Drosophila melanogaster: one gene and its partner. The protein of the gene in region 1 interacts with the protein of each later gene in a pairwise test. Each region holds a gene or a part of one and is shown on either strand. Other genes may lie near its edges.

Region 1 (14,547 bases):
GCTGCAGCGCACTTGAATTTTAATAGAAACTGCAGCCGCCAGGAAAAGTCCGGATTGAAAGGGGTGCACACCCTGGAGAAAAGGCGCCAAAATGCGTGTGTGAGTGTGTGAATGTGTTGCCATTCTGTCATAACTCTCGACTGCGCCTCCAGGTATGCAACGCTTTGCAGTTCCTCTGAGAACTACAATATATGAAGGGCGAATAAGGAAACTCGTAAGCGTTGTCAAATCCACCGAATATATCATAAATATCTGATCTCACCTACTCGGAAACATATCCCATTTGCATTAGTATGCATAGGAAGTACGAGGCCCTAAAGGGATTTACTGTTTTATGTGTCAGTGCAATAATAAACCCAATCACTTTATGCTTGACACCACTTTATTTAATTGATTAAAATGGGTACATAGCTAATATGTTATATCAGTACCATCGTGGCGTTAGTTTTTCGCATTGAACGAAAAACCTAAAAAAAATAAAATCGTAGATCATTTTCCTCGATAAATATTTTTAAAATATTAGCTTGCCGATAAAAAAAATGTATATGTATAATTCAGTTCATAAATGTTTGACATTTCCCATACGGAAAGGTTAACCACCACAAATCCTTCTGGGGTTAAAAGGAAGGAAATTATTTCAACAAGTTACAAATTTTCGGAGTACGTGCCAGTTTGGGCTTGGTCCAGGGCCCATTGTTATGTGTGTCGCGTAGATCTGATCAATGACCTGCGAGCATTCCACATCCACCCATTCCCATCCACCCGTCCACCAATCCACCCATCCACCCACCAGAGGCAGCAGCATCCACATCGCCATGCTCATCGTCTTCCACAGTCACGGAGCTGTGTGTCCCATTAGATTTCAATAGGTCCTGGCTCAGGGTGCTTTTGCCCCGGTTGTGTTGGTTTTGTTTTTTGTTTTTGGTTTTTATCAACCACTGCCGGAAATTGTGACAAATTGATTGAACTAAATGGTAAAAATATCAGGCATCAAATTGCCTGTGACGATAAGAGAGTGAGCTTGCCCATTGAAATGGACTGGAAGTCGGAATGGATAGGCGTGCTTGTGAGTGAGTGGAAGGACATGTCTGCCTCGATGAGTCTGAGTCCTGGCAGTCCTCGCAATATGCAGGCAAAGCAGAAACTCACGCACTTTCAACGAGACATGTTTTATATGTCAGTCTCAAGTGTCTTCGCCAGACGACAACAAAAACATTGAGACAGGCTTCAATTTCAATGCGACTTTCGTGCTGCCTTCTTGTATTTGCACTACGAGTTTATGGCGCACTAAAGCTGGAATTCAAATGAGGGCCAGGAAAATCATTGGGAAAACAATGGCGCTGGGTTGGAGCACGCCAAAGAAAACTCACTTTAATTCGTGGAGCTGTGAGTAGTTGAAGAACAGACTCAGCCAACGAGTTGGCTGCTACCTAAATTAATGACTCTTAAAAAGTCTAAGAATTTGTATAAAGTCGAACATTTATTACATCCAACCTCTTATTTATATTCATATTCGTGCAACTGCCTGTACAGCATCTTACGACGACGTCGAATCACGTCTTGAACTCAACCCTTCTCAACTTTTCTTCCCAATCTTGGGACTAACTAGAACCTGCCACTGACAATTATGGCCCTCCTTCGCTTTTGGCCAGAAAATGCGACCAACCAAGTGTCAAAAGCAAGAGCAGGAAAACTTTGCGAAACGAAGATTGATTTAACTTTCGGACAGCTTTGGCCAATCTTGAAATGCATTTTTATTCGCCATCCCCAGTTTTGGCAATTAATCAAAGTACAAAGTAGGTTTGTTCCTGTTGTATGCAATGCAGATTGATTAATCAGATTTCATTGGCAATGCAATTAGAGGTTAATTAATTAGTTTTCAAAAACTTTCGGCAGTAAAGTGTTGAGTGATTTGCGGTTGTAATGGAATGGAAGTTTCTCTTTGCCAAATAACCTTGAAATACACAATGGTTTTTTTTTTAATTCTGTAATTCTTTTTTGTTGCGTTTCGTAAGATTTACGCTCCGTTGTCCGTTGTGGAAAAAGTAGCGGAAGCAATTAATAATGAAAATCAATTGGATGTACGTTTTACATAAGCCGATGAGGTCAGTTGGTCAATTGAGATACAGTCGGACCCAAATCAATCCAGCAACCTTGTCGAACTTTGTCCATAATTCAGTTGTCGAAGACTTTGAATCTTTCTGGTCAACGGGGTCCTTCACATTTTGCGATCTTTGCCGCCGGGTTATTGTGGTTGATTCAGTTTCCTTTTCGGGTTCGCCTCGAGTGGATTTATTGTTTCGAGTGGCAAACACAAATGTCCACAGCCATCACCCGCATCAATTCTGGCCGCACGTTGTCGACTCCTGTCAGCCACAATATCCTTCTTGTTAACAAAAGTCGGTCCCTGAGATTTGGGGTACCAAACACTGGTTGTAACCGAATGGATGGATGGATGGATGGGTGGTGGGCTGGGACCAGCGCCGCACACTTTGTCACTTCAACTTCGATAGGTCGACATATTTCTTATTGTTGATAATCTTTCTGCTGACACGGCCACATGCATGTGAATTGAGGACTGGAACGGTTCCAGTTGCTCCTCCTTCATCTCCATTTCATCTTCCAGGCCAGGAGACAATATGTGGCAAGGGCCTTTGTCTTTAACTTGGTAGCTTCTTGCGGCTTTTTGTTGGCTTTGTGTGCTTTATTGTTATCCCATGATGTCACCCAGGACCAAGTTCTATGAAAGACAGGCGGCTTTGTTTGCGGATTTCCGAGGGATTGCATTGCCTTTCAGACTAGCGCTGCATTCGAATAACTTTGAACTGCACTTGTCGACGGGGACACAAGTTTTAAAGTTGACCAATTTAAAGTTTATTGAATTGTACTCGTTAAGGAGTGTGGGCGAACCGAAATGTTCGCATTTGACATTCAGTGCTTACCATTTTTGCAATTGAATAATGTAATTGTGGTGCGACCTCGCAGAAGCCATTTATCAAAAATCGTATTAATTATATTTTCGAAAACATGTGTAGTAGTAGGGTCATATTAGGTCATAATAATATATCACACTGAATGTGACACAAAGCTTTCGAATTTGCTATACATGTATACTTACATCTTTAATGACTTTTTCCCTCTTCTCCTCTGGTTTCCTTAAACTCGTGTTTTTTTTTTATTTTTTTATCTGAAACTTTGCCAAGGGAGTTGAGCATCTAAAAATTTCATAATTTGTCTTGTCATTAAACCAGCTTCTCCTATTCACATTTCCATTCCTTTTCCCATCCACATCCCCTTTCCCATTTGCCAGCGACTGCAATGCAGCAGGAAGGACATTTGTGTCACTCGTAAATTTCCAATGCCGGCAACAAGCCGCCAGCATTCGCATTCGCATTCACATTTTATACTTTACTTCCTTTTCTTCGAGTTTTTTTTCCTCGGCTTCCGCTGCGCTCAATTCCCAATGTTGCCAAGTGGCAGTCATTGGCTTTTGCAGTGGCTTCTCGATTTTTCGGATAGTGCTTAAACATTTTCAGATTTACTGGCAGCAGAAACTCAGAGCTCCGAACTAGAAACCCGAACCGCACGCGCCATAGAATTTATGAGAGTGCCGAATCTTGACGTTTTCGTGGCGCCACATCCAAGGACAAAGAGACTGTGTCGTCATTCTATCGTCCTATACTGACTATGCATAATGAGTAGTAATTCCCAGTGGTTGGGAAAAACTTCTACTTGTACGAAATTCGGAGAGGGGAAAACGCAAGTTTAATAAGGGCGAATATATCTTCTATTGAAAATTCCAATTTACCTTCGCCGAAGTGTGGCGAAAACCTTTTAGCGGAGTCTAACCAGGCAACTTCGTGTATACGCTAACCATTTTCAATTTGGCGCCCAATCTAATTAAAGCTCATTTATGGAAATTTCTTATTAATTGAGCCAAAGAGCGATGGAGAGGCATTGTGTTGATTTATGCGCCCAGTGGGCTCATAATTTAACAGGCACCAAGGCCACAAGGACATAATAGTCTTCGCCCGGCTTTAAATGCGCCGATGAACTCGGGCCACATTTTCCCACTGACGCTTGAATTATGCAAGTTAATTTGCAGCTGCCTGAAAATGATGACAAGAAATACCGCCAGCACACCAACAACCACACCCGTACCCACACCCACGCACAATGCACAACAGGGCAGGACTTCTGGCTGCTGGCTGCTGGCAGCCTAACAAGAGTTATTTCCCACAGACCGGAAGTGAAGTCGACATAAATTGCGGTTAGTGCTAGTCAGCCCACAGCCCATCCACCCCCCTCGAAAGCCACGTTGGCCATTTAATACATTGCGACAGCCATTCAGGCAGGGTTCTTCCGTCTCAGAGGGAAGATACCACCCACTACCACCCACTACCTAGCCACCTGGTGGGGGTGGTGGAAAACTCCTGGGCAGAAGCTGGTATTAAAATTCAGATTGGTTGCGTCACAGTTTTGACGGTTTAGCCGGACGGGTTAACCCGGCATTAGTATGCGAGCGAATATTAAAACCCAACTTGAAGATTACCATATTTTATGCTGATGCATACATATATACCAGCCAGCACTAGTGGCTAGTCTTATTTTAGTAACCACTAGCCGAGCATCAAATAAGGATTATTGCCTTTCGGAATTCGTAAAAGTAAAGCGGATTGAAAACTGAAATCATTGCTGTGGAAATGTGCATCGGGGTAGGACTTTTATTTCGTGAAATTGATTGAATTTCGTTTTCACTTTGCACCCAATCCGAACTGCAAAATGGCAGGCTGAAATTGCAATGAACTAAGGAAATTTCAGGCTTTTCAGACTTTTCTCTCTCTCTTGATAAGTTTCAGTCTTCTGGTAGAAATTCCACTCCTTTCATGCGAAACACGCCTAAGCTCCTGAAAAGGGGAGGGGGAAACGTACTTGTTGTCCTGTTTTGTTACTTCTGTGCGGTTGTTTTCATTTCATTTACAGTTGCACTTGAAGTGGCTGAATGGGGCATGCATGATAGTCCTGGTTCCTTGATTTCCCCCGGTGCCAAAGAAACCCACTTTCCAGAAACCTCAACCGTACGAGAGCTTGCATTTCATACACTTTTACTGACCACTTGCCACCACGAAAGCCACACATCCCAAAGATGTCACACATCAAAACCAGAGAAGCAGAAAATGTATATTAGTGTTGCGCATATGAATCGCACTGTTCCACTTACAGAGCAATCAAAATCGCGGATACTAAGGACATATTTAATATATTACAGTCAGATATGCATTTCACCCTTTACTCACTGTTGTGCATCTCATTTGGATCGGAATGAATTGAAATTTTATTTAGGGTCAAAACTTTTCAATAACTTGTTTATTCCCGATCCTAGTCCTTAACTATTGTATTGAAATTTAAATCTGGGTTGTCTGGTAGCGTTGGCAACACATCGTTTGGATCGTACGTTGGAAGTGTGAACACGGTGGTCTCGAATTCATAATCGTTTTCCATATTCTCTTCTTGACCATCGTTATAATCATTTTCAGGTTCGACGAAAAGTGAGCCACCATTGCAGGTCTTCACGAGCTCATCTTTGTGGCAAAGATTCTTGTATTGCTTATTGCTTCCCTTCATGCACTCTGAAGCGGCTTCTTCGTCGGTGTCCTCGTAGACGGGATTATCCTCCTCCTCACAGAGACTCACTCCGCAGTTGTAGACGCACTTTAGCAACTGGTGGACCAGTGCTGGCCGAACATACTCAACTATGGCGCAGCCCACGCGATTAGCTCGATCCCTCAATACCTGAAAGTAGTTTTTGGACAGTTCCCTGGAAACGGTCTTCAATAATATTTTGGACTTCCTGGTACATGGACTTACTGCTGATTTTTAGTCCATGAGAAGAACAGCTTCTGCACTTCATCTTTACTATTGGGGTCAAACCAGTGATCGAGTTGCTTCCTCAGGGCCTCCTTTTTCGTGGTCATGCAGAAGTACTTTTCCAGCGAATAGCTGACTTCCGCATGACCGTAATTTGGGGTTATGGCGCACTGATCTCGGATTGGCTCACAACGACGTACCAGACCGTCGGCCACTTTGGCCAGTTCCGGATCCCATTCGATCGTGGTCATCCTTGCCGCCTTCGGATTCTGATCCATTCCGCCGGCGAACTTGTTGCGATATTCATTGTGCTTGTCCACGATGAGGGCTATCATATCCCAGCTCATTTTCACCATGGCTGCGGCTTGTTTGGGACAAGTGGATTCAAAATTCTGTAAGAATATGTAAAGCGATCCGAATGATTTGGTCTCCCGTTTACTACCCACTCACTCCATTGTCATCGCAGAGCACGTGTTGTCCTCGGCACAGGTCAGCTTTGCACCATTTATCTGAAGCGCCTGTATCTTGAATATATAATGTGGAGAACAGCAGCCAGATGCACTTTATCATGGCATAAATAACCAGAGTTGTGTATGCTCTGACAGAGGTTTTGAAATAAATAAATCGAAGCCTTGACGAGCATATAATGAATCGTTAATTCTACGCTTGATCCGCGACTAATTGGGTTGCTAACATCACTTATTGAAAGGCGTTCCTTCATTTATTGTATTCCAAGTGTCTTTAGGGCATGGTACGTATCACTGAGACAGCATTGGCCATTCAGTTCTTAAGATTTAAAGATCTTTCACTCTCCAGAAGTCCCTTCTATCAATTATATGGGTTTTTGCATTGAAATGCAAGGCACTTTGCATTGCTCATAAAGAAATGGCATAGGCAATTGATTCAGGAAGCGACTTAAGCTTAAGTGGCTGTCTGATTGCAGCATTTAGTCGCTGAATGAGGAAATTAACGGGGGAAAACTCGTTTCCGTACTTCTGCTTTTGTACTCCACTTAATTGTCTCGTGAACTTTTGCAGCCCAACGTTCTTCGTTCAACCGATGGGCAGTAAAATCCCCTGTTTAGTTGCCGTGAAATAATAAATCCAATAATACACACATTAGCTGCACCACATTTGCCGCTTAACAGGGGTTAAGCTAAAAAAAAAAAAGGAAGTCAGGTTCCCCAGTTTTTTTCCCCCTGCTTTGTCTATCTGGCTGCAACTCGTTAAGCCACTCAACTAAAAGACTAATCCACTTATTGGCGGTTTGGACCGAAGTAAGTACAAAATACACAGCACTAGAGTTGTAGAAGTTCGATTTTAAGACTCGCCTAAGAAGTTGCTGGAAAAATTCAGACGTTGTTTTAAGGTCTTCGAAAGGACGAGTGCATTCGCAAGGCTTAAAAAAGTGAGTTGAAAATTCACAGCGAGAGACCCACAGCTACTTTTTCATACCTGGTGCAGATTCTCTGTACTTCTTTGGACGTGTTGATGTTATTGGCAACAAAGAGATGGCACCGTTACGTCAAATTAATTAAACTAATTGAGTTTGAAAGGTAACGAACCGAGTAAGCGATGTGACACAGAGCAGAGGGGCAAAAATAAAAGTTAAAAAATGTGCCGAAGTCGTTACATACGTTTTTCACGCCATGTTCGTTTTCAAAGTGAAAAAACGCGATTACAGTTTGCATCCAAATGAAATAGGTTATCAGAGGTGGAAATTCTTGACGTGTTAAAAAAAGAAAAGCGACGCGGTTTTCATAGAAATGTAGCTACGTTTCAGAGTAATTAAATAAAAATGCTCCGGGTGTAAAAAATCTAATGCAGTATGTTAATACATTAGATCTGAATGTATATTAAATCAGCGATAGCACATGTTACATTTATCTACATCTTTTTTTCAGCCTGCATGAATATTCTTAATGTTTAATGTTTGCATATCTACTACCAGCTAACTTAATAATCAATATAAATCAATTTAGTAAAATGAATATACATTTTTTTCTGTAATCATGCCAGTTACTCGTAGAGCAACACGGTTAACTAGATTCGTTGAAAAAACACTCACGCCCTACATTTATCAATAAAGATTTCATTTTTAATTGGAATACATTCATTTGGCCACTATCTACGACCACGCCCACTCTACCGCCCATGAAGATGGTAGTGAGCAAGTTTGTTAGCAATCGTCATGGTGCTACTACAATATATATCTACGTTCCAGGGTATGTGATAGTTGTCCGGTGTTTTTAGTTTCACATTTATGCATATTAAATGCCAATTTTCAATGGCAACAATCAAATCATATACTAATATTTACTAAACAAATACGCAGCAACATATTTGCACCTCTCCAGAGATTTTACCTTCCAATTAGTTGCTGAAAATGGATGCACCAAATTGTCATATCGATTGCCATATGTGAGTATTTGATGGCTGATGACTCCACACACAGCCCCGAGGAACACCACCATCAGTCGCATTAATTACGATCCCCCCAATTGCCTGTGGGGAAATCAGCTGCGCATATTGTCGTTGGCAAAAAGTAAAATGAAAGCCACGGAAGAAAGGAAACCGAAATTGAATTTCGGGAGCAGTTGTCGCAAAAATGCTTTTAACGCGAGCCAAATGCATGAAGTATACGATATGAGTGGCCAAAGGGAAATGGGTTCTCGAGCGTGTATCATAATTAATGTTAATTGCCTGATTGAATGGGAGATGGCAGGCCCACGAATCCACATATTCGCACATATATATATGACAATCCCAATTTCCAGCGCCATTGAAACTGCATTCTGGCGCCATTATTTCGTTTCCGCTTCAGTATTAAGTCGCCGGACTGACAGTCTCCTTTTCGGTCCGTTTCAGGTGTCCTTGTTCAGGCTGAATTGTCGGAAACTTTATTGGAGCATATTGCGCTTGAATAAACATTGGAAAATGTGTGCTCATTAAAAGGATCTCAATTGCAATGAGTGCTTTAAATGAATTAAACAAGGAAATGTTTGTGCCAGGAATTCGATATTTCTTAAATACTTGAATTGAATTCATATAACAAACCGTTTGTAATTTAAATCTTAGTTTACCAACATGCCGTGATTGTGTTTGTAAAAGAACTATGATAGAAGATGGCTTCTTGGCTCGCAATAGCAATTAAAACCACTTGCATTCTAGATGATCGAGGCATAAAGGCTGCTTGGACAAGCAAACAACATGGCTATTTCCCTTATTTTTAGTTTGGGGCCCGAAGGTCGCTCTTCCTTACATATGGAGACAAGACGCAATGTTTGACACGTTTGAAAGATAAGGCTAGAGCGTCATTATGCGAGAACAAAGGACCTGGAAACCGAATTGCGCTCCTCGGAGGCCATTAAATGTGGTGCGGTGTGTTGCATACATGGCGTACACATACATGTACGATCTGCGGAATGTGAGAGCGATGCGATGTTTGACGAGTCAGTGCACCTGCACTATGTGCTAATTACTTATTTATAACGCCCAGATTACACGACACAAACACAGCCTGCTCAGCAAGCTCGGTGCAAGCTCATTGCATACTTTGCGGCGGCCCGGCGGCTAAATGTTCTTCACTTGGAGTGCGCAGGCAGGATTTCGAGACGGGACTCGAGATGTGGCTCAGTGTGTGTGCTGGGATGGGCTTGGGGATTTGGGTTTTTGGAATGGGGAGTGGAAAGTGGGCAGGGGTTAAGCAAGGAGAGGGGGGGGGGGGAATTTCTGCCAGCTCTGCAGACAGCAATCAATCTGGTCGAGCTGCACTTTCATCCACCTCAGTGGGCCAAAATCAGACCCAATCAGTTCCCAATTGGCCGTGTAATGTGGTTCTTTTTATTTTTTTTGATAGTTTGCCTCAAGTTTCTACCTCTTTTCGGCTACGTGGCTAGCTGGCTACGTGTGCATTTTACCCAAGTGCCTCTGAGTGTTTAAACAAATTTTGCGAAAGACTCTGGACTTTGTGGGGTAAATCTACCTGGGATATTTGCACAACTTTCCGCGTTTTAAGGAATACTCTGTACATATTTAAGAGCCATTCGGTTGGAAGGCTCTTGAGCAGAGATGGGATTTAATTCTGGCAAAGTTGGAGCAGTGACAGCCAAGTGAAAAACAGTTTATCCACAATCAGGCGAGAATTCTTTGACGCTTTTGGACAATCCGACTGTCTGTCTAGTTAAGCTCAACTTGCCACTGGCAAAACACTCAGGTGTGAAAATGCAACCACCTCGTCCTCGTCCCCTTCGAATTTCCCGTTGTTTTTTCCCTGTTTCTGTCACTTTCAGTGTCTGCCACACCAGGAAGTGCAGCCAAGTTTCGAGTTCATTTTTGAAGTGCCAACGAAATTAAAAAACTATACACTCAACACACTTATGCAACTGACAGGCGGCATTTGTGTATTGTTCTGAAAACCGTTTTATTGTTTTCGAATTTTAATTGACTAATGGCTCTTCAATGCTCATGCAATGTGCACAATGAATTAATGAGCATTATTTAAGGTAGTAAGTAAGCAGCGACAGACAGCAGTAAGTTCAGGCCAGAAGATATCCTAACAGTTTCAGTGAAAATTTAACCCTCTTTAAGCCAAATAAACCACATTTTTCAGGCGACCACAGTGGAAAATCAAACTAACGCCAACCCGTTGACTCTCCATTCGGCATACCGTTTTCACCTTGGCTTGTCATGTGAAATATTTGCCCAGGTGTTGAGTCTCCATCTCCGTTTCCATGCATTCGGCTGCTTCCTCAGTCTCTGCATGCCCCGGAATTTCACTTTTCACAGCAGACACCGAGGAAACTCCACTCCGGTAATCCCAGCACCTAACGCAATGAATTCTCCGGGTTTTTTCTTTTGGCGGAGTTCGGGTGGGTACGACCAGGTGAGGTCGAAATTGCACATTTCGCAACAGCACTGAAGTAAGAGTCGAGACACAGGTAATTTATTGCCATCGCTGCCAAAGTGAAACATAAAACGACGTCATTAAGTTATGTCGGCAAGGCGCAAGCCTAGAGCAAAAAATCGAGTTCCAAGTCGTGGGAAATGGTCTTGGAGAACGCGAAGACATACTGTTGCTTTTTGCTGAATTTTCACCTTTCTTACCCATTTCCTTTCGATTTCAAGTCATTTTTCTTTCGGTATATCCTGGTAAATGCATTAAAATTCAACGCATCGATGCGTTGATAGTGATAACAAGCTGTGCCTACCGATAAACTAGCCTATGAACATATGCTCGTAAATAGACTCAACAGAATAGAATGGTAACAGAATATGAGCACTTTATTTAATATTATATTTGTGAGAATACAATGAAAAGGTAACTTTAATAATTAAGAAACTGAGGGCACATGCATACGAGTAATATTGAATTTTCTTTAATTTTTTCCCTCGAGTGTCCCGACTATCATATACCCTAAAAGAGGTGGGGTGGAATGTGCAAGCGACTGCTTTAACTATGAGCTTCACCGAGCGGCTGCTACACAAATTGCTTATACTTTTTAATAAATAATCCGATTGAAACATTTTTTTGATGGATGTTCATAATCAAGAGTCAAAATCTCAATTAAGCTCTGGGAAAATCTAGCAAAACATATAAATTCAAATTCAGATATATATAATTTTTTGTGGGCGCCACAGATTCTTTGTTGTTTTTATTGGCATTGTTTTAAATTAAACATAAGCCAAATGGTCATCTTTGAAATCTTTATACCCATTCTAACATCTTATAGTTCTCGAAATTGCTAACTGTCAAAAGGAGAGACTGAAATACATTGCCAGATGAACTTGGTTAGTAAACTATTTGTTATGCAGGAATCAATGTAAGCATTTCACCCTGGCGACGGGACAAACATATTTTGTCATATATGTATCGATCGATTGGTCTAAATAAACAAAATTGACAACATTGGAGATGTAGAACGGGCCGAAAAAGTGTATTCAATTTGGGAATCTTTTAAAGCCGGAATGCATCAGGCCGAAAATGCAATCGATAGTTGCTCCAGGGAAGTTCTTTCCTGATTGGCGGAATCGTAAATTAGTTCTAGTGAGTGGAAAAGCAACTTTTCTCTCATTCAAAGCCATTAAAAATGCAATTGTTTAAAAGAGCTGGCAGCCAGGTTCGCTGCACTGTGTTGTCCTTATCCCCGCTTCAGTTTTGGCCTCATTGTGTCAATGTGGCAAATTTTGGTAGTGCGCACTCTTGCAAGTTCTCCACATTTCCATTCCGCCGTGGGCTGCTGCGGTCATTTCAAAAGTCAAATGTCGAGTGCAGCTCCATTGGGGTAAAGTTTTATGCCAATCAGCAAAGGCCATAAAGAAATTTAAATAAACGAACAAAAAACTGTTGCTATTCTAAAATCGGCCAAAATTGTTTGCTCTCTGTTTTAAATTTCCGCGGGGAACGAACTGTTTCGTGAAAATAATAAATGAATGCGAATTGTTTTATCTCAATCGCCGCAATGCAAGCGTTTCGTTCAATTGCCCAAAAATCAGTAACGTGATTTTTTGACAGTTTTCACAGCGAGCCAGAGTGTCAGAGAGTTTTCCTCGATTTTTCCAACGCTTTTATTCTCTGTGTGGTTGATTTTTCCAGCTATGGCTGTGAGTGTGTTAATTGTAATGACTATAACATTTTTATGCACTTTCCATAGCATATGCTGTTGTCACGAATGCAAAAACTGCGGCCAATTGTACACAGAAATTTGCCATCAGAGTCATTCGTGTGGTTCACATTTCGTATTTGACTTTTAGATTTGAGCGGCAGTCAAATGGATAGATAACACGTTTATTGATCCGTTGAAATATTGCATATTTCAATCAATTTACTGCAACGTTTGTGCAAAAAGCAAACTCCCTTCCGCTTTAATTGAAAAGTTACTTTTTTGCAGTTTATTTTCAAACAACTTCAGCTTTGCCAGTGAAATGTACGACAAAAACTCGTAACTTTGGGTCTACTGTCTACTTCTCTGTTTGCCTGTTTATGTGGATGGTTGTGCAGCCGAATATATTTCAGTGCTTTTATGAAGTGATAAATGGCATTGCATTTAACGAGAAAATCAAAAAAAAAATATATATCATTTATGCTATGTGCATTTATATTGTGACGCTAAAATGTAGCCTCGATATTAAAGTCATCCTTAATCCAAGAAATGCCAAGGCACAAGTTCCATTACCTCCTCTAATATTTAACGCAGCAATCTCTGAGCAGAACAATATCCTTCCAATTTGCCCAACCACAATCCGACTCTTCATCCTCGAATTCACCCCAAAAACAAAAATAAAGGAATGGTCATTTTCCTCTTGGCCATTGCCATCTTGCTCGGCTTGGCCCTCTTATGGCCATATTTTGTGGACGGGCCAGCTTAGGTTATGGAATTTATGATTAAACAAGTTGTCAATATGCCGGAGACCAACTATTAGCCGAGCAATTTTCGGGAAGCCCGAGGTGGAGATGCGGATACAGATAAAACGGCTAAGCGGTCTTGGCTAAATCGATTCCAGCGCGGGTTTAGGACCATTTACGCGGGCCCCAATTATATGAGCTTGTCGCCGGAGGGATGCGGCGCAACTGGGTGGAAGAACTTTGGCGACGGCTTCCCCGGTTTCCGTTGTGTGTGTTTTTTGGCCGAAAATTGCATTTCTATGCAAATGCCATACAGTCAATGACTTTGTCACGACTTTGTTAGTAGTTTGCCTGGCGGGGAACAAAAAAAAAAAACAACCATCGCCGAACAGGGCGAAAAGATTTGTGAGTGCCGGACAAAACTTGGCTGGTGATCAACAGTTAGGCCAAAGTTAGCAGCCGTTAAGTTCTCTCGCTGGCACTTTGAGTCGCTCGTAAAGCATAAAGCCAATCACCATTAGTGTAATCGCCTTTGGTATTAAGCATTATCGAGTAGTCCCGGGCCAACACCTCCTCCCTTTTCCCGTTCCCGTTCCCGTTCCCTTTCCGATTCCATCTAAGCCACTTCGAGTCTCAGGCCTAGTTTGTCGCTAGTTCGGCCCGCATAAATTAAACAGGGCCAAAAAGGGGAACCGGAACTCGTGGTAGGTGGTCTCTTTGATTAAGCCCTTAAGTTTGCTCTTGCCGGTCGGTCGGCAGTCAGGCAGGCAGGAAAGGCGTCAGGTTGTGGTTCTGATTCGGATTCTGTTTACTGACCATGCTAATCACAAAGGCTGCCTGCCAACTGCCTCATTGTTTGTAAGTCCGAGTCTGCGGATGTGCCTTCATTAAGGTGGCTTGCCGGAAAATAATATACGAATCCGATTGAATGCTTCAGTGAACCAATAAAGCAAGTACGACACAGCTCGGCACTCTGAAATATGGCAACTGCAGCACGGCAATACTACGACAATAATTCAAATTTTATGATTGAGTGGGCAAACAGAACATCTGCATGTGTAAGTATAAATAATGTAATCTGTGTGCTAGCAACTACAATACATAGGTGCTGAGTAATTATGCTTATTTAAATAGTTATTCCTGAAGCACAAAGAATTCGTTGTGTTATATGCTAATAAGTAGATATTAAATATAAACATGTATAAATAAATATGAATGTAAATATAAAGGACACACACCCACATCCTCACAGTATATTTAATCATAATGCCCGATGCGATGATGTCATACTGGTGGTATCAGCACTTGGGGAGCTCTAAGCAAACCAAACCAAAT
Region 2 (18,058 bases), on another chromosome or scaffold:
GTAGAGCAGGTTCAAAAAACGACATTGAGCACGATAAACAAATTTCGAAACACGTTTCTCGGCCTGTCGAGCAAACACAATTGAAATTTCTCAGCCACGTGGACCGTGTGTTTTATGGATCTATTTAATGGATTATGCATTTCTCAAGCAGTTCACTCACCCGTTCGCTGCGCTTGGAATCCATTTTCTGGCGACGACGCTCGAACTCATCATCCGAGTCGGAATCGCTATCACTTTCCACCTCCCGTCGCAATTTGGCCGCTCCGGCCTTCTTTGAATATTGACGGACAGCCTGGACCACGGCAGTTGGCATTTGATGCCAAAGCAGTGAATGTGCTCCATGTCCACAGATAATGCCGCCAGATGCCAGGCGCTGAAATCAGAAAAAAAAAGGAAATTAGAAAAATGTGAAAATGCAAAATGTATTGGATAAGTTTCTCTATCATAATAATCATTTTGATTGTGCTTTAAAAAAAGAGATGCTAACGTGTCATTAATAATGTTACGCAATCATTATGCTATTGTTTTGTATTGTTTTTGTGTATATTTCGGTTTTCACAGCCCCATGCTGAATGCTCTTTTTGTTGTTGATATGGTTGCTAGACGCCCTTCGGTGTGTAAGCAATCATTATGTTTTTAATTACAACTCAGCGCACTGCTGTTTTCCTGTGTTGTTTTTGTTGTGCGTGTTATTTTCTCATTGTTAAGGTCAGTTCTGTTTACTCACAAAACAATTCTAAACCTGATTCGTCGTTATCTGTTTTTTTTTACGAGTTTTCCATCTTTGGTTCGCCTTAAAAGTGCCAAAGAGTGACTGTCAAAATGTATCTCAAAAAACTCGGTCTACAGTTTGAGAGGCGCTTGGTAATGGTAAAAAACCACGTGGCGATCATGTATGTAACGAATTTAAAAGAAGAAATTGTAAACCAGCAGGAAAATAGCTTCCAATATATATAAAATATATGTAAATATAGGACACGGTATTTTACACATATATAATACATTCAATGTCCTTTGCTGCCAACATTGCAACTTTGAAAATTAAAAAAGATAAATATTGATGCCAATAACCAGTTCGGAGAAAGGTTTTTTCCATCACCTGTGCCATTAGGAAAAGATAAAAAACAAAATTCGCTACTCTTTTAATTACAAGAAACCGAATTCTCTTGTAAACGTTTTGAATTTCAATGGCTCTCGATAAGAAAGAATCCAAGTACAGATGTTGCCAGCCACCGACGACGATGATATCATGCATCATACCATATAACATTATCATAAAGCCCGCACACTTATTGTATTGGACTGACTGCTTTGGGACCTTTTTTCGGTTCCAGTTGCTTCGTTTGGTTAAACGAACTTTGGATTGTTTCTGTTTTTCGGTGTTTTTTTTTTCGTAAACAAGTTTCTCCAAAATACGAATTAATGAATGCAAAAAACGGGCCTCCTTTCATTTGAATGTCTGCGCGTCTCGAAAATAAAGAGAAACACGTTTCGACCATAAGAAAATTAAACAAAAAACAATGCCAATGATTTATATGTGGAAGATGCAGAGAGTAAGAAGACGGCAAATAAAAATCAAAGTCGAGCAACAGGTCAATGTTAATTTAGCAGCAAACAAGAAGTAGAAAAATTGCGAATAAAATCACTTTAATCATTTCCTGTGATTCTAAAACTTCTTTTTCCGTGGCGGTTAGAGAAAAAGTAAAGGGAGGTGGGGTACTTTTGTTGTTATAATTTCCAATGCTTTTGCGCAAGATTTTCCTGCTACAGAATTTGCGCAGTTTTCCGACTTTCAAAATGAGGGGGTTGTTGTCGGTGAGAAGGGAAAACAAGCTTTCACCTGAATACACGGTGAAAAATACCAGTAAGTATTAATATTGGCTTAGCTGGTTAAATTAATGTATGTTGTGTCAACATAATATCATAAATTTCGTTTCAAAACCGAAACTTTTATGCAAATACTATTGGACGGTATTTTTAAAGCTAACAACATAGGAGTAAGATGAAACATGTTTATATATTAACTGAACTATTTTGTTGAATCTATTGATTCAATACCAACATTTCTTTGTGTGTAATTTCCACTTGTTTATCTTACTGTATCTTGTTTTATTTGTTTCATTGAGGGATATGCCTCTTTCGGCGCCGGGTTTTCAATTTCTTATTGATTGATTGAAGTGCTGCGCCCTTTAATGATTGATGTGCAAGAAATTTGCCAGCACCTAAACGTATTTTATAGTTAATCATCAATTGAAACCAAAAATCAGCAATATATAATGCTGCTGCTAACAACAATAAATTAATAATGCGGGAATGAAAAGTTAATAAAAATTAGAGAATTAATAATCCCAAACTCTCTTGTATTGCTAGAATTATAGTTGGGAATATCTATTAATATTAATCAAGAATTGAACTCGAGTTCTTACAGTTTCGAATGCACTGCTACAGTTTACTTAGCACTGGCCTCGTTTCGTGAACATTCCCGCTCCCAATTTTCATTCTCCACTTCCCTTGCTTGTCTGTATTCACCCCTCTTCCTCACTATTTACAGTTCTCCTTCCACCACTTACTGTTTTTCGAATTGCGATTCTATTTTTCTGCTTTGTTTTGAGTTTATATCATGCGGAACTGCTTTTTGGTTGGAACATCTTTTGTGGAACTGGTTTTAAACTCTTTATTTTATAACTGTTGCTTTTAAGTTTGTTTTAGGAACTGCTCTTTCCTGTCCGCTTTGTGATGCTAAGTTTTTCTAACTGCTTGTTTCTGTCAATTCAATTAGTAACCTTAACTACAATGCACTGAAAGAAAAGATGCACTTACGTGACAATCGCTGTGCGAAATGGGCGTGTTTGGGGGCGGGGAGGCATTCTGCTGCAGAACGCCGACAGTTGCGGCCATGTTGCGTTCCAGAATTTCTCTTGAAGTGCGCAAAATACCACGGCTCACGATGGAGAATGCCATTTTGTTTTTCGCTCAAGTTTTAACCTCGGTTTTCTTAAATTTTTCCTCAATTTTCGCTACGTTTTCCTTACAGTTTGAACTGCACTCGAGAAAATGTGCAACGTTGCTTTTTTTTAGGGATTTTGTTGTTGAACTCTTGTTATTATTTCGATTGCAACGCGCATTTAACAACCGGTTTTTTCGAAGATGCACCACAAAAAAATGTTTGCCTTTATTTTTCTGCTTTGTTTTGTTACACTTTGTTTTTGAGTCCGCTAATTTCTATTTTGATTTCTCTGTGGTTTCAGTTTTTTTTTTTTTTGGATATCTTTGCTTGGGAGTAAACACAACCGTTCGCTTAAGCGTTCGAATTCGTTTTGAAAACCATCGCTGCGCAAAGAAAAGAAGTCGACGTCGACGCCTGTAAAAGCAGAGCGGTCTTTCTGAGTGTGTGTGAGCGGGAGTGCGCGTGTGTGTGTGTGGTTTTGTGTGATGAAGAGGGAGAGGACAGCATAAGAAGGGAGCAGGGAGAACAGCTGCTACTTGGAATGGTTACCACAAGCAGGCAGTACACACTATTGAAGCCAAAATATTAGTAGTTACATTTTCAAATGTTCACGAAATCAAACTTTGAGCTGCATTAATATACACATGCATATGTGTCGCAAGAATATTTTTGAATATGAGCGTTCCCAAATGTTAAAACCAGCTTTAAGAGATGCGGAGGAATTAGTATTTAAGTTTTTTAGTTCATATTTTTGCGCCCTTGGCTGTATATATGTAAGTACAAACACAAAGGCAAGACCATGTAAGCCGGTTGAAGAAGAAAATGGAGAGGAAGCAGGAGCACAAGAAGAAGCAAAAACAAACACAAAACCCAGTGATTGTCAAACCTCGCTTAAATGGAGAACTGTATTCGTTTTCAAAATAAAGCCCAAAGAAAATGCATTACATAAACATGGGATTACACACACATATACATACACGGACTACAGTTTTCCAATTGATAACGTAAACGAAGGAATCCAAAAACAAAAGCCAAAACTCAAAATGAAAATATCATAAAATGTGCGTATTTAGGTCGCTGCGTGTGACAAACTGTCGGTCCAATACAATATGCCCCAAGACACCCTTCCCCCCTCGCTACGCACTTCCCCGAAAAGTGCCCTCTACGCACACACATACAAATGAAGTAACACAAATACCTACGCACTAATAGTTTCTGTTTTTCCGTTGCTGTTCTACTTCATTGCTCCACAGCAAAACGCATGCTTACACCCACACGTGTGCGGTAAATATTATAGGATCATTACAACACTTTAAAACTAATAACATTAAAAGATCGTTTTCAGTTACATACCAATTAATTTCAAGCACTTGGCATTTTACCACCATTAAAGGTATCTTAAACTATTTTTTATAACCCAAATTGTCCAAAAGCATAATGCACTATGCTGATCATTCTTCGCAACGGAGCACTATTTCTAGTACCTTCACTGTGGACACCCATACATACACAGCTGTACATACGTGTAAGATTGTATAATAGTCTTGATCAAATAAGCGCCAGTGGACTTGGACCCAAAAAACATTGCATCGAAACGAAAACAAAAAAGAAACCATCGAAAAAATTAATAAGGGGGTAGTGATTCGGAATGGATATATCAGTGGCCGGCAAAAATTAAAGGGAATTATCAGCTCCACTAATTCCCTTTAATCTTGGTTCATTTTAATAGTTTTTACTGCCCATCAAGATCAATGCTTTCATAAATCCCCCATAGTTTTGCAAGCACTGGTTCCCCGCAAGAAGTGCAACACTTTACGTACAAAATAAAAAAAATCGAAGGCCCCCCACTTTACCGTTTCGAATGCGGCAAGCGGAGTGCACTGCACTCTGCGGAGGCAAAAACTTGAAAATACAGACGGAAAACCAAAACATGTGAGCAGCCGGGAAGTTTCCAAAGCGGATTATGCGGCGGTGAACTCGAGATAAATTGAACATAATCCGTTTATAAAGATAATGGAACATATCTATACATACATATACATACATACATACTATCTGCTAGAACGTTCTGCTTTTGTCTGTGTTCCTTTAAAGTTAAATATTACTTCTATTATTTTATTATTGTGATAGATGCGTATTTGATATCTCGATAATACCTATTCATAATATTAGCCACAGTAATGCATAAACGTCACTTGTTTCGGGGTGGACGTGTGCTTGGAACGAGAACAACCGGCGCATCGGCTGTCTGCTGACTTTCCGACCGTCACGTAACACCAGGTCCAGGGACAACAAAAGCAACACAAAACAACTGCAAACATATGACCACCAAAACAGGGTCTCCAACCATGTAGTATATACATACATATGTATGTACATATGTAGGTGTAGAGTGTGTGCAGTTTAGCATGCGCCCGCTACAAATACATAAATTATAATCTATTTGCTGCTGCACCTGCAAACAAATAAACAAATAAAGAACGAAAATTGGAGACACACGACTAATGACGTCACAAATAGCTTTTAACATTACACCCACGATCCACATGACATCTACATAAGTAGCTCCAAAACTCAATTGCCGAAAATTAAAATGCGTAATTTAAACGCGCGCGCGAAAAAGGTGAAAAAAAACAGTAGAAATACCTTTACAAAAACTTTACTACTTAAATAATAGATTTTAAATCTTTAAATTTAATACTTTAATTTAATACTACATACATATGTAGATATGTATGTACATATCTATAATCAAGAGTTCTTAAAACATAATTGAAAATATTTAATACTTTATATTTGATTGCCATCTTAGCTAGTGCCCACTGTATTGTAATTGTAAGTCCGCTCCCAAGATTTTGCTTCTGTTTCATTTGTCTTTTTGGGCGGGGGATCCAATCGAAATGGGTGGATCGTTGTCGAGCGGGAACACGCACACACGTGTGCTATTCGAGATACCCGAGAATATTGGACAAGATCGTTTCGTCTCGTCGTCTCGAAGTGGAAGCCTTGTGCTCCACGAATTTGTGATGTTGTGTTTTCTGCTTCTGCGTTTCTAGTATTTCTTGTCGCGCTTTTCAAGGTCCGCAGTTCCACAGTTTTGATGCCATTTCAGATTTCCGCAACGCCATTTATATTGATGTGCGTATGTGTATGTGTGTGATGTGCGAGAGTGCGCCAGTTGTTGTTTTCCCCCTGGCTTTCTGTTTTTTTGGCGTACGTGTTGCGCCCCAACGCCGGCTCAAAAAAAAAAAAGTTTAAAAAAAGAATTAAGGCAGAAATTATTCTTGTTCGCATTGGATGCTAGTTTAACCCTCTAAAATGACAACTGTTAAACATAGTTTTTGGAGAAAATTTAAAAGAAATAATCTCATCTTATCACATCAAAAACAGATGTTTATATTAAATTCGAATGCAACATTCACATAATAGGTATTGGTCTAAGAATCATTTTGAGTTCAGATACAAAGCGGAAATTGTATTTATATTTGTTTGCGTACGTTTTTTTTTCTTTTTTTGGTCAGTGCATACAGTCTTTCTCACGGGTCTTTGGAGGGTTAAGCAAAAGGGTTGTTTATCTTTCGGGTTCACTAGTTTTTCTTTCAGTATGCGGATTTTGGCACGTCGACACACCGGCGACAGAGGAACGACGCCAACGTCGGCAGAGAAGTCGTGCTGCGACTTTACATAAAATGTCATAAAATTTAATTGCGTCGTGCATTGGTGTGTGTGCGTGTGAGTTTTCCAGTTGCCTGCACCACCAGAAAACAAAATAAAAAAAAGACAAGAAAAAATCAGCGACTACGTGCCACTTGCAACGCATCCTTTTCCACGTTGTTGTCGTAGGTCTTCGATTTTTCAAATTCATAACACTCCAAATTTTATGTGGAAAAACAATGAAACTCCTTTACAAATATACTTCAATATCTTTAAATATTACTGCTTGATAATTACATTAGAGAATTGCTTTTTAAAAAATGCATTCATTACATATTTGTAATTTGAAAATGCGTAATTTGTAATCGTATAGTTTTTGTTTAAATGTATTTTTTGTCGTGTAATTAATTAAATTACATCTGACGGTCGCCTTATCAGCGACCTGCTTATAATGGCTGATAAAACCCCAAAAACAACAGCAATGCCCAAAACAAAAAATAACAACACATGACTTTCTGACCATCGCGAGTTACAAAACCCAAACGGTTAGAGATAAAAGCCAGTCCAACTTTACGGTAAAGATTAGGCCAGAAAACAAATACGAAATGAAAATGAAGTAGGCAAACACAAAACAGATTTGAAAATTCGAAATTGCTTTTCGAAAATGTTCGGTAAATAGAGGGGCCAACAAATTTGGCGGGTAAACAAGGCTATTGATTTCCGATTACAGTTTGAGAGTCACTTAAGGTAGCGGGTTTGAGTAATAATATATTTGGTAAACAATATTTGAATGTCCATTTTGCATAAGCAAATAATAACATTTTTGTTCCGAATACATTAACTAAACTAAAGTTATTTTCATAACAATATAATTTATTTGTAAATTCAGTAGTAAAGTTTAAAAAAAAAGTAAAATTGATAGATTTATGTCGCTTGCATTCGCCTTTATCGGTAATGATAAATGATCCAAATTAATCTTTTATTTATGGCCAATAAACACACTTTTAGGGCTTGTGTAATTGGCCTTCAAACACAACAGCATTCTAAGAAAGGAAAACAAAAAAATCAACACCGTGGCCCAGAAAAACAAAACCAAAACAAAAACATGCTAAAAATCTAAACAAACATAAGAGGCATTTGAGTTTTTTTTTTTTTTTTTTTTTGAGGTAATCCACACCGGCACATAACATTTAACCCTGATGTCGGGCGATTGAAAGCTCCTTAAGTGGCAAGTGGAGATCCATCACACTGAAAAAAATAAACAAGATCACTTCGATTATTTTTGTAGCATTGAATTTGAAGCTCTTCAATTCCAAGACCATAAGCAATGGCATTTTGGGCTATTGTTCTAAGACTTGTTAAAACTTATGAGGCATTCTATTCTACTATGCTTCTATTCAACATTTTTTCCCCTGTGCACTGTGAACTGCCATTTAAAATAATTGTAAATAGGTTTTTGTTTTTCCCATCGACTGCTATTTTTAGCCACCAATTAGAATTTGCTTAGGGGCTTTATCTGGCTCCCAAGAAGAAGAGTGCGAAAAGGGTAACGACTACGTTGTTCCCGGCACGTTAACACAAAAATTGTGCGTAAACAAAATTGTAAACAAAGATTACGCAGTAATCTACCATATCTCTGCATGCTTTTGTAATATATGTGGGCGCTAGAGTGGGCGTGGTCTTTGGCATTATGACAATGTTTTGGCAAAAAAAAAAAAATACGAACCTACTGACTGTTTTTGCGGGTTGTAGGCGATAGTTATAACTTATATACTAGATGTATATATTCTAGATTTAAGTACTGTCGTGCAAATTGTAAGCAGATAACACTAATTGAAACATCATAGCATGCATATAAGAGCGAATTGTATTTCCTAAAGTCCAGACAAAATCTTAAAATGTCAGTCTTTACGTTCAATATATTCGTACTATCACTAGTTCTCCATAGTTTGGCAGAAAATTTTTGCAGGCAGGATCTCTGTACCAAAGGAACCACCCACATAGCGTGTGTAAGTGATCATTCGAAAACTTAGCGACAAATTTCAATATGTGTTATGTGAGCAGCAGAATGTAAACGGATCCTTTGGTAGCTCTTGTCCCAAAGATGCAACCGTGATTAAACTCAATCTTGGGGATAAAAATGCTCTGATCAAGGCCCACAACTTGGTGAGACAAAAATGGGCTAGTGGCAAAGCAAAAATTAAGTGGACCGCCTGTAAAATGGCCAAAATGGAATGGAATAAGGACCTGGAAAAGCTGGCAATCTTAAATGCCAAAACCTGTCTTATGGGACATGATGAGTGTCACAATACGGAAAAGTTTCGGCTATCTGGACAGAATCTATTTGCCATGGGATTTTCTCATGCTAGGATAACGAAAACTAAAATGAATATGACGTTAAGCATGCTCTTCGAGATGGCAGTTCAAAAGTGGGCAGGCGAGGAAAAGGATATTACCGCCGAGGACTTAAAGAAAACGACACCTAATCCACCAGAGTTTGTCACTTACTTTTTTTCCCATTTATTAGTTTCAGTTTCCTTTTACGCTTTTGTTTTTTTTTTTTAGAGTTATTGGCCACTTGACCGTTTTGATCAATGAGAAAAGTAATGCTGTTGGTTGTGGCTTAGTTGCATATAATCTGGGTGAAATCCGGCGATACAATCTGGCCTGTAACTACGCTTATACAAATGTTATTGGCGAACGTGTTTATGAAGAATGCGCCAAGGCAGGCATAGAGTGCGCAAAGGGAATTGACCAAAAGTATCCACCGCTATGTGCTAAAATATAATGATTTTAAAGCGATTTAGTAGCACTATTGCTGAAGCTTAAATGATATTATTATTATTATTTTTATTTCTATTATCATAACAGTCAGTAATCACTTAAATTTGCAGCTATGGGCTTAGGGGTCGTCTTATATCTACTTGGAAACGAGGGTCTTGAAAACGGTAGGGCATTTGTGGGCTGGTAGGTGGCGATAGCAGTATGTCTTGATCGCATCCAAATCAATATCCGCATCCGGGGATACAATGCATATGACACCAAGACGATGGCCCCACATTTTATTGGGAATACCTAAGACAGCCACATCGTTGATATTCGGATGTGAGATCAATACCTTTTTGATTTCCGATCCGTATACCTTATAACCGCCGACGGTGAAGATATCGCTGCTTTTACTTAAAAAATAAAAGTTTCCGTTACGATAGGCGCAAATGTCTCCGGTTTTAAAGAAACCATCTTGGTTGTTCTCCTGCTCCTCATTGTTTGTGGTTCCTTTGTGTTCCATTTCCTGATTGTTGTTAGCCAATGTATTGGACACCAAATTGGAACCAGCAATTTGAAGTTCACCAATTATGGTTCCCGCCAAGGATGCATCGCCGCCGATATCCTCCACCGGTATTAGGCCACTATCCACGGATCCACCGAGTTCGTTTTTGCAGGTTATTAGCTCGTCACCCTTATTACTGATCAATCGGGCCGTGACTCCCTTCAACGGCGAACCCAACGTACCCGGTCGATAATCGTTGGGGGCGGTATTATTGGCCATAGCAACCGCTGTTGGACCATTATGTGGAGAGTCACGTTGTCGTTTATTTAACGGATGACCCAAAACCAATCCCGTTTCCATCATTCCATAGTATTCGTATATATTTTGACCCGTTATCTCGCGCCATCTGTAAAACACCGAATCCGGTAGCAAGGCAAAAGCTGTCGCCATCAATCGTATCTTTTGCCGGCAATGATTCACAATGTACTCAACCATTCTCGAATCCTTGGCAAACATTTTCTCATACTCGACAATCAGACGCTTGTAGACAATTGGCATGGCCAAAAAGAGGGTGACCCGTTGCTTGGATGGGCTATTTATGCCCAATAGAGCACTCCACGCATTGTGACCATCGAATTTTTGCTGCAACACCACATTACCGCCCACACTGAGAACTGCTGCCAAGGCGGCATGCATTCGATTCATGGATAGTATTGGCAGCATACAGTCTGTAGGTCCCAAATGCCAAGTTCCGATCAAACATCGCATCTGAGCTTCGATATTCCGATGGGTCAACAACACTGGCTTGGGACTATTGACCGCATTGGGCGTATAGATCAGCATGGCTGGTGCCTTGGAATAGAAATCGTTTGGAAACGTATTTTCCGTTACGATAACACCCTGGATCGCCACCAGCTGTTTGGCATACATCGATGTCGAGGATACACTCTCCGCCGTCGGGAGAAATGAGTGATCCAATATGATGGTAGCTGATTTCACACCCTGCGACAATTCCTGGGCAAGTGACTCAAATTCCTTAGTGGCTATCAGTAGCTTGGTCTTGCAGTTCGATGCCTGCCGTTGCAATTGATCTATCGCCTGGCCGGATTCCAGTGGAACTGCCACTTGTCCGGAAATCCAACAGCTCCATTGTATAGCTATCCACAGGGCGTTGTTCGAGCACAAGTATGTTACATTCGAAAGCGCGGCGCCGCCTGAAAAAAGAGAAGAATTTGCAAACTTTTTGAAATTGAACCGTAAATAAATTGAACGTCCGGAAAAATGGTTTGTCACTTACCACATATATTTGAGATCTGAATGCCCAGACGTTTGGCGGCCATATACAATTGAAAATAAGTGTACTCCCCATTGATGTCTTTCACGGCGATCTCATCCGGATAGAGCATAGCCTTTTTGAACGTGGGCACCACCACATTACTACGCTCCTCTTCATCGAAACTATGGCGCAGCTTCTCGATGAAGCCATCCTGCAAACATTAAATAGAAATTGTGGAATTGCAATTACATAAATATTATATATATATATATATCTACCTATATATATTACCTTATGTATCAATTCGGCGGAGCAAAGACGGGCCAATGGACGCAACTTTAACTTGTGGCAACGGCGAAGTAGCAGCATCTTACTGTTTTTTTTTTGTTTTTTTTTTTTTTTTATGGATTATTTGATGGTGTGTGCGCGAATGCAGCTATTTTAAATAATAGTACAAAGAGCAAAATTTAACTCAGATTTTCAGTTGCTATCGCTTGAAAAGCCAAAACGATTCTGAGATTCGTAACATGACATACTTGAGTGGACACAAATGAAAGTCGTTCAATTCGATTTGTTTGATTTTTTGTTGGTCTTTATTTACACAATAATAGTTTGCAGACACAAAAATTAATAACTACAATAGTCATAATCGTAAACGTAAGGTAAGTAAAAAAAAAAAGATGATATATTTCAAGTAAAATGAACGTCACTATTTTTCTTTTGGTATTTTTCTTATTTGTGTTCGCCTTCGTTTGTTCGTTTTAATTTATATAAATTTTTTTTTTTTTTTTTTGTGACCTTTGCATAATACTCAAAACTGTCGTTTACAACAATCCTGGCTTGAGAACTCGAACGTGCATGGGGTAACGATGGGGCGGGTTTCTTATTTGGGTTATTGAGAGGAGGTGCAATCGAAAACAACACTTAAGAAACCTATTGTATATTTACAGTCTAAGATTGAGCAAAAAAAAAAAAAATAAGAGTCAACTATTTTGGGTGATTTTTGAGATAATGGCATTACACCGTTTGTTCCTATGGCAGCTATATGATCTATCATACAAAAACGTATAGGAATAACAATTCGAATAACCGATTTATATGGCATCAAAACCTTGAGAAGACGGACGGATAAACGGAAACAAGTACAATTGCAGTGTATTTAAAATCTAGTTCCTTTAAATATACAAAAACACATATATTTAGCATAAATCGCATACACATTTTGTAAATTTTCGTTACGTCCATGATTCGATTGAGTTTCATTTTTCTCTTGCTTTAATTTAACACTACATTTTAAGTAAGAGCCGGGGGAATTTTTCGAGTGCGATCATCAAGTGGCGGGCAGTGCTTGCTAAAAATGTAACAGTTTCACAATTAACAATACAATCACAGATTACGAATTTAACATAATTAACGAAAAACAATTACAAAAAAAAAAAAAATTGAACGATTCGAATGGTATTTGTTTTTGGCTTGGCAAAGGGAAGGACAAATTCTGGGATTTAGAGATTCGACGCACTTCCTTCCCTCGATTTCCAGCCAGGAATTTCTTTCTTTTTGTAGAACTGTAAGGCACTCGGCAGTCTCTTCTTTTTCACTTATACTCAAAATGTATGAAATTATGTAAAAAGTTACTGGCACGTTACTGTTTTCAATTTTGTTTTTTAAATTTTTTTGAACATACATTTACATTTGTTATCGCAACACTTAAAATGTATCGCGAAAAGCACACAAGCTTATTCATCTGGCGTCGTCCAATAACGAAATAGTCATGAATTTGACTACTGGGAAAATCCAAATTAACATGTCAACAAGTTGTGTTGAATTAAATTGAAAACAGCAACAGTTCTGGGACAAATAAAAACTAGGACTATCTCCTCCCGATCCACCCCAAAACCCCACTGCACCCAGTTCGATGCCAGGATCTCTGGATCCTTGCTATCGGATCTGAAATCCTTAAATATTTTACACTCGCTTCGGTTTGCTGACCATTGTGTAGTTGAGGCCATTATAGCTGCGATGATCGATGGCTGCCGCCTCGAGATTGCCGCCTTTGTTGGCCGTTGCAGTTGTGATGGTGCTACTACCGCCGCTGATATTGCTATTGGAGATTCCTAGATTATTATTGTTCGTAGTGGTGCTAGCCTTTCGCAGCACCCCGTAACCGCGATGACTGTCATCGGCTTTACGGAAGCTTTCCGTATCGGGACTAGCGATCAATTCGTATTCATTGGGTGGCGGTGGACTGCATCGTATGCGATTACCGGGTGTGACATTCACAATGGTCTTATAGCCACTCGATGTCTTATTGTTCGGCGATAGAAAGTCTAAACGATCGTAATTCGATTCACTAATGGATGTGGCGCTAGTGCAACCCTCACCGATATCGATGTCTATGATCTTGGGTGTATTTTGGCTGCCACAGGTGGATTTCGATACTGATCGCTGGCGTACAAATTCTGAGGTATCGCAGAGTATGGGCATACGTTCACTGTGCCTAACATCGCCCACGCCCCTTGTGCGCCACGCCTCTGTGATATTTTCGATGCACTCGTAATCCCGCTCCGGAGGCGGTGCTTTCGAGGCGCTCTCATTTCGCAGCGGCAAGTCGGGCGGTAAATCGGCTGCTGTTTCCGGCAGGGATATCGATTCGCCTTCCAGGGGTTTCAGTATCACTGAACTGTTCACATCGGAATTGGCGGATGGCGAAGATATCGTAGTTATGGCCACAGGTTCATATTTCACAATATTCCTGTATTTATCACAATGGGTTGTCGGGCTTTTGCGTGGCGGTTTGTTGGGAATGTGTTTGCTGCTGCTGCTGTTGCTATTGCTATTTGCGGGCACGGATAGCGTGATTCCTCCGGTACTTCCTAAAACGCCTCCACCCGTTGCTGTGGCGCCACTTGCTCCACCTCCACCCGCCGAGAAGTTATTAAGAGAATCGTTAGAGCTAATGAAGCCCCTCAGGGATATGCAGCTTTGCGTTGAGTTGATCTCGAACTCGCCACCGTGGGGATTACTCGACGGTGATGGTGGCAGTGGGCTTCGCGAACCGGGCTCCATGCCAGCTGCCGCACTAAACTGATTCTCACCGCACTCCAAGGTGCTCAGACTATCGCCGCTAATCAGTTTCTTCATCGACTTCATCTTGGCGGACATGCAGCGGAATACCTCCTGTGGATTGGTGTGATCCAGGGTGAAAACGCCTTCGCCGGTGGTGCATTTTCTGCCCGCCTCAAAGGTGAACTTGCCATCGCGATAGCCGTACTTCCTAATGAAACGATATGGCCACATGGCGATTGTGGCGCCCAAATCCTCCGATTTCAACTGAAGTTCAGTGGGCGTCATTTGGAGCATATATGTCTTAGGTTCAATGCAGCAACGAATGGAGGCCTCGGATGGAATCAACGTGATAATGAACAAGCCATCCTGCAAATTTATAAAAGGTGTGGATTATTATGGATTTTTTATGCGGTTCGGTTTTTTTTATATTCTTATTTTAAACGTGCCAATTATTGTCAGAGACTAAAAATGGAATTGGAGGTGCATTTTCACGTTAGTTTCTTAAGAACGCTTTAGATTCATCGTATACCCCTTTTGACAACTATAAGATTACGCAAATATAACGAAATACCCCAGAAAGTTTTCGCTTATACAGAGATGATCACTCACAAAGGAGCTGCAGTAGAGGTCGTTGTCCTCCTCGATGGCCCCGATTCCCCCCGATGGTGAGGTGTCACAGAAGGCCACCGTTTGCAGGGCGGTGATCCAATCCTTGAGCTCCTCCTCGCTACTTGTGCTCAGTGTTAGGGTAGCCTGCCGCTTGACAATGTGAATGAGGCGTTCGGGAGGCGGCTCCTGAGTGATCTTCACACAGTTTTCGAGGGTGAAGATTTTGGGGTTCCGGTCCTCCTTGCTTTCGCACATCTCCAGGCGGGCAATCCCATGCCGACTGGCCTTGAATAGCAAACAGTAGCGACTGCATGCTTTCTGCAAAAAAAAAAAGAAAAAATTGGGATTCGATTAAATCGGTTTGGATGTCTTAAAACGATTATATCTTAGTAACGTACTGAAGAAGATGTATTGTATATGTATATGTATATGCATATGAAACTGCAGTGTATAAATAACCAGAATCAATTCAAATTTGTCTTAAGATTTTGTAGTATCCTGCATTGGATAATGCTAAAAAAAAATATAAAAATAGAGTATGAGCATAATGGGCTAAACCGTGAAGTACTTATTCGCCCTCACTCTGCCCCTTCTCTGCGATCCCCTGCACCACCACCCTTTTTCCCCAGTTTTCTGCTGGCTCAAGAATTTCCTGTCGCGCATAAACACAAATACCACGAAGTAGCATGAATCGCCAGCTGTGTGTGCCATCTGAAACTCCAACAGTGGGGGTAAAGTTATTAGGATCAATGCATAGCATGTTATTCGAATTTTAATTTAACTTAAAAGCATCATATTATTACTGCCTGATATATTGTTTTTAAATACGGTTTCACTTAATTCATTAAAGGGTTTGTGTTGGTCTTGGAATATTAATATTATTAAAAATGATATGCTAATATTATGGCCTTAACTGTATGAAGTCGGCCCCTCTCTCGCTCACTCCCTCTACCGCGTATCGCTGTCTCACTCCCACTCGCACAGTGGGCCTCATTTGTATGCAACAAGTATGCAGACAGAAACACATGCACATAACACACTCACATTAACACATAGGTCCTGTTTGATTTATCGAAAACTACGCACTTGTAGGATAATTGCAAACAGAAAGTAACTTTTTAAACCCTGATAAATGGGGAAATATTTATATAGAAGGGCGGAAATACGGCGATTTTCCATACCTTTTTCGAGATGCGATTTAGCGAAAATCCAGTTTGGGTCGGCACATTAAGATATCCAGCCAAAACAGGTATTTCAACATCCATTCTGTGCACCACTCCTCCACCTCTCCTCTCCTTCTTCCCACTCTCCTTCGTCTCCTGCTCTCTTTCCCTCTCCTTCGCCGATCTAGCTCACACAATGCGCCTCCGATTCCGAATTGTTGTTGTTGTTGTTGTTGCTGGAGTTGGGCTATGCGATTTCTGGAGTTTTCCTTCAATTCATCCGTTTTTCTGTGCTTTACGATAGCTTCGCGGTCGCATTTAGTTGATCACTTCATAGTAAACATCACATCATATCGCACAGCGAATACGGAGATTCGAATTTCGAAAAGCGCAGCCGCAGCACAAAAAAAAATCACCAAAAAGCGAGCACAGAGGCAAGTCGACTTTATTTATTTATGCGCTGCACGGTTGCATGCAGCTGCTGCAATCGTCATCGATAACTAATGGCGATCGATAACTTATGGTTTTTTGGTAACAAAGCGGTTGAATTATTTCTTAGGTCTAAAATAATAAATTAATATCATATTTTTATAATCTTGGTATGTTTTCCTCTCCTAGCGCGCAATTTTAATTTCTCATAATTGCGTTGTTGGAGTTATCAACATTTCGATCAATACGAAAAACTTGTTATATTATTTTTTTGATATTTTATATTATTTTGAATGCAAATATATATATATATATATCTATGTGAAATATTAAGTTACAAATTTATGGTGAAAATATTTTCTGTGAGCAAATATTTTAATCGCGTGTGTTTAAAAAAATAGCTATGAATAAAAATAAATCAAACAGTCTGGCAGCAAAGTGGCGTGCGATATTTCAGCGTTGCCATCTTCGAATGCCAAGTGCCATCACTATTATCAAATAGCATTGTTTCACCCATCTGGTAACATCGCAAATCGTATTGTGCAAAAAGGAAATATAATTTAGCCAAAACAAAAGCCAAATAAGGAACATGGCCCACGACCGCGAGGTGCTGCGAATGATCTGGGAGGGCCAGATAGGCATATGCTTCCAGGCGGATCGGGACGAGATCGTGGGCATTAAGCCGGAGCCTTTCTATCTGATGATATCGCGACTCAGCTACTTGCCTTTGGTGACTGACAAGGTAAACAAAGGCTTCAAATGGAAATGGCCATACCAATTATAAGATCCCAATGACTGTCGTACATATCCTGGCAGGTTCGCAAGTACTTCTCACGCTATATAAGCGCCGAACACCAGGATGGAGCTGTGTGGTTCGACTTCAATGGAACGCCCCTGCGACTTCACTATCCAATTGGTGGGGTTTACATTAACGAGATGATGATATCATAGCATGCCCATTTGATACTAATGATGGTACTGTCTTGAATCCTGGTTAGGTGTCCTATACGATCTGCTGCATCCGGAGGAGGACAGCACGCCCTGGTGCCTCACCATTCACTTCTCCAAGTTCCCCGAGGACATGCTCGTCAAGCTCAACTCCAAGTATTTATTAAAGAAATCGCCATACCAGTTTGTGTACCCCACAGTCGTGTTTGCGAAATCTTATCTTTAACACGTCGTAACTTGGGATTGCAATCATATATAGTTTTCCCTTTTCGAGTCTCAATGAACAATCACCGTGGATGTCGAAGTAATAACAGGGTAAACAATTGCCCATCAAGCAAATCCCGTGTTATAAGAGAAAATGTCATATAAAAGTTGGACCAAATATGAATTAACAACTTCGCACAAAGATAAACGTACCACAATAGGGTTTTTAATACGTTTCAAATATTTGAAAATAGCATAGTTACCTCGACTAGGGTACACAAACTGTTGGTTCCAACTGAATTTTTACTGATGATCCGCAACTCTTAGGGAGCTACTTGAATCGCACTACATGTCCTGCCTGAAGGAGGCAGATGTGCTTAAGCACCGCGGCCTGGTCATATCCGCTATGCAAAAGAAGGACCACAATCAGCTTTGGCTGGGATTGGTCAACGAAAAGTTCGATCAGTTCTGGGCCGTCAATCGGAGGCTAA

The links.
Region 2: the proteins of CG10651 (region 1) and Dok interact in a two-hybrid assay, tested with the Drosophila melanogaster proteins (one large-scale study listed by BioGRID).

The regions. Positions count from the first base shown.
Region 1 is NT_033779.5:20,128,464-20,143,010, forward strand, and holds CG10651 (uncharacterized protein), read right to left. Parts: upstream 6,461-14,547; 5' UTR 6,439-6,460; coding exon 6,319-6,438; intron 6,261-6,318; coding exon 5,869-6,260; intron 5,819-5,868; coding exon 5,380-5,818; 3' UTR 5,292-5,379; downstream 1-5,291.
Region 2 is NC_004354.4:7,322,619-7,340,676, reverse strand, and holds Dok (downstream of kinase), read right to left. Parts: upstream 16,464-18,058; 5' UTR 16,089-16,463; coding exon 16,005-16,088; intron 15,142-16,004; coding exon 14,824-15,141; intron 14,581-14,823; coding exon 13,114-14,580; 3' UTR 11,871-13,113; downstream 1-11,870. Other genes in the region: CBP (sarcoplasmic calcium-binding protein), read right to left, coding at 161-373, 2,821-2,961; CG42780 (uncharacterized protein), read left to right, coding at 8,500-8,610, 8,666-9,096, 9,167-9,389; Acsf3 (Acyl-CoA synthetase family member 3), read right to left, coding at 9,522-11,086, 11,170-11,359, 11,440-11,517; Atg5 (Autophagy-related 5), read left to right, coding at 17,005-17,157, 17,232-17,331, 17,414-17,519, 17,895-18,058.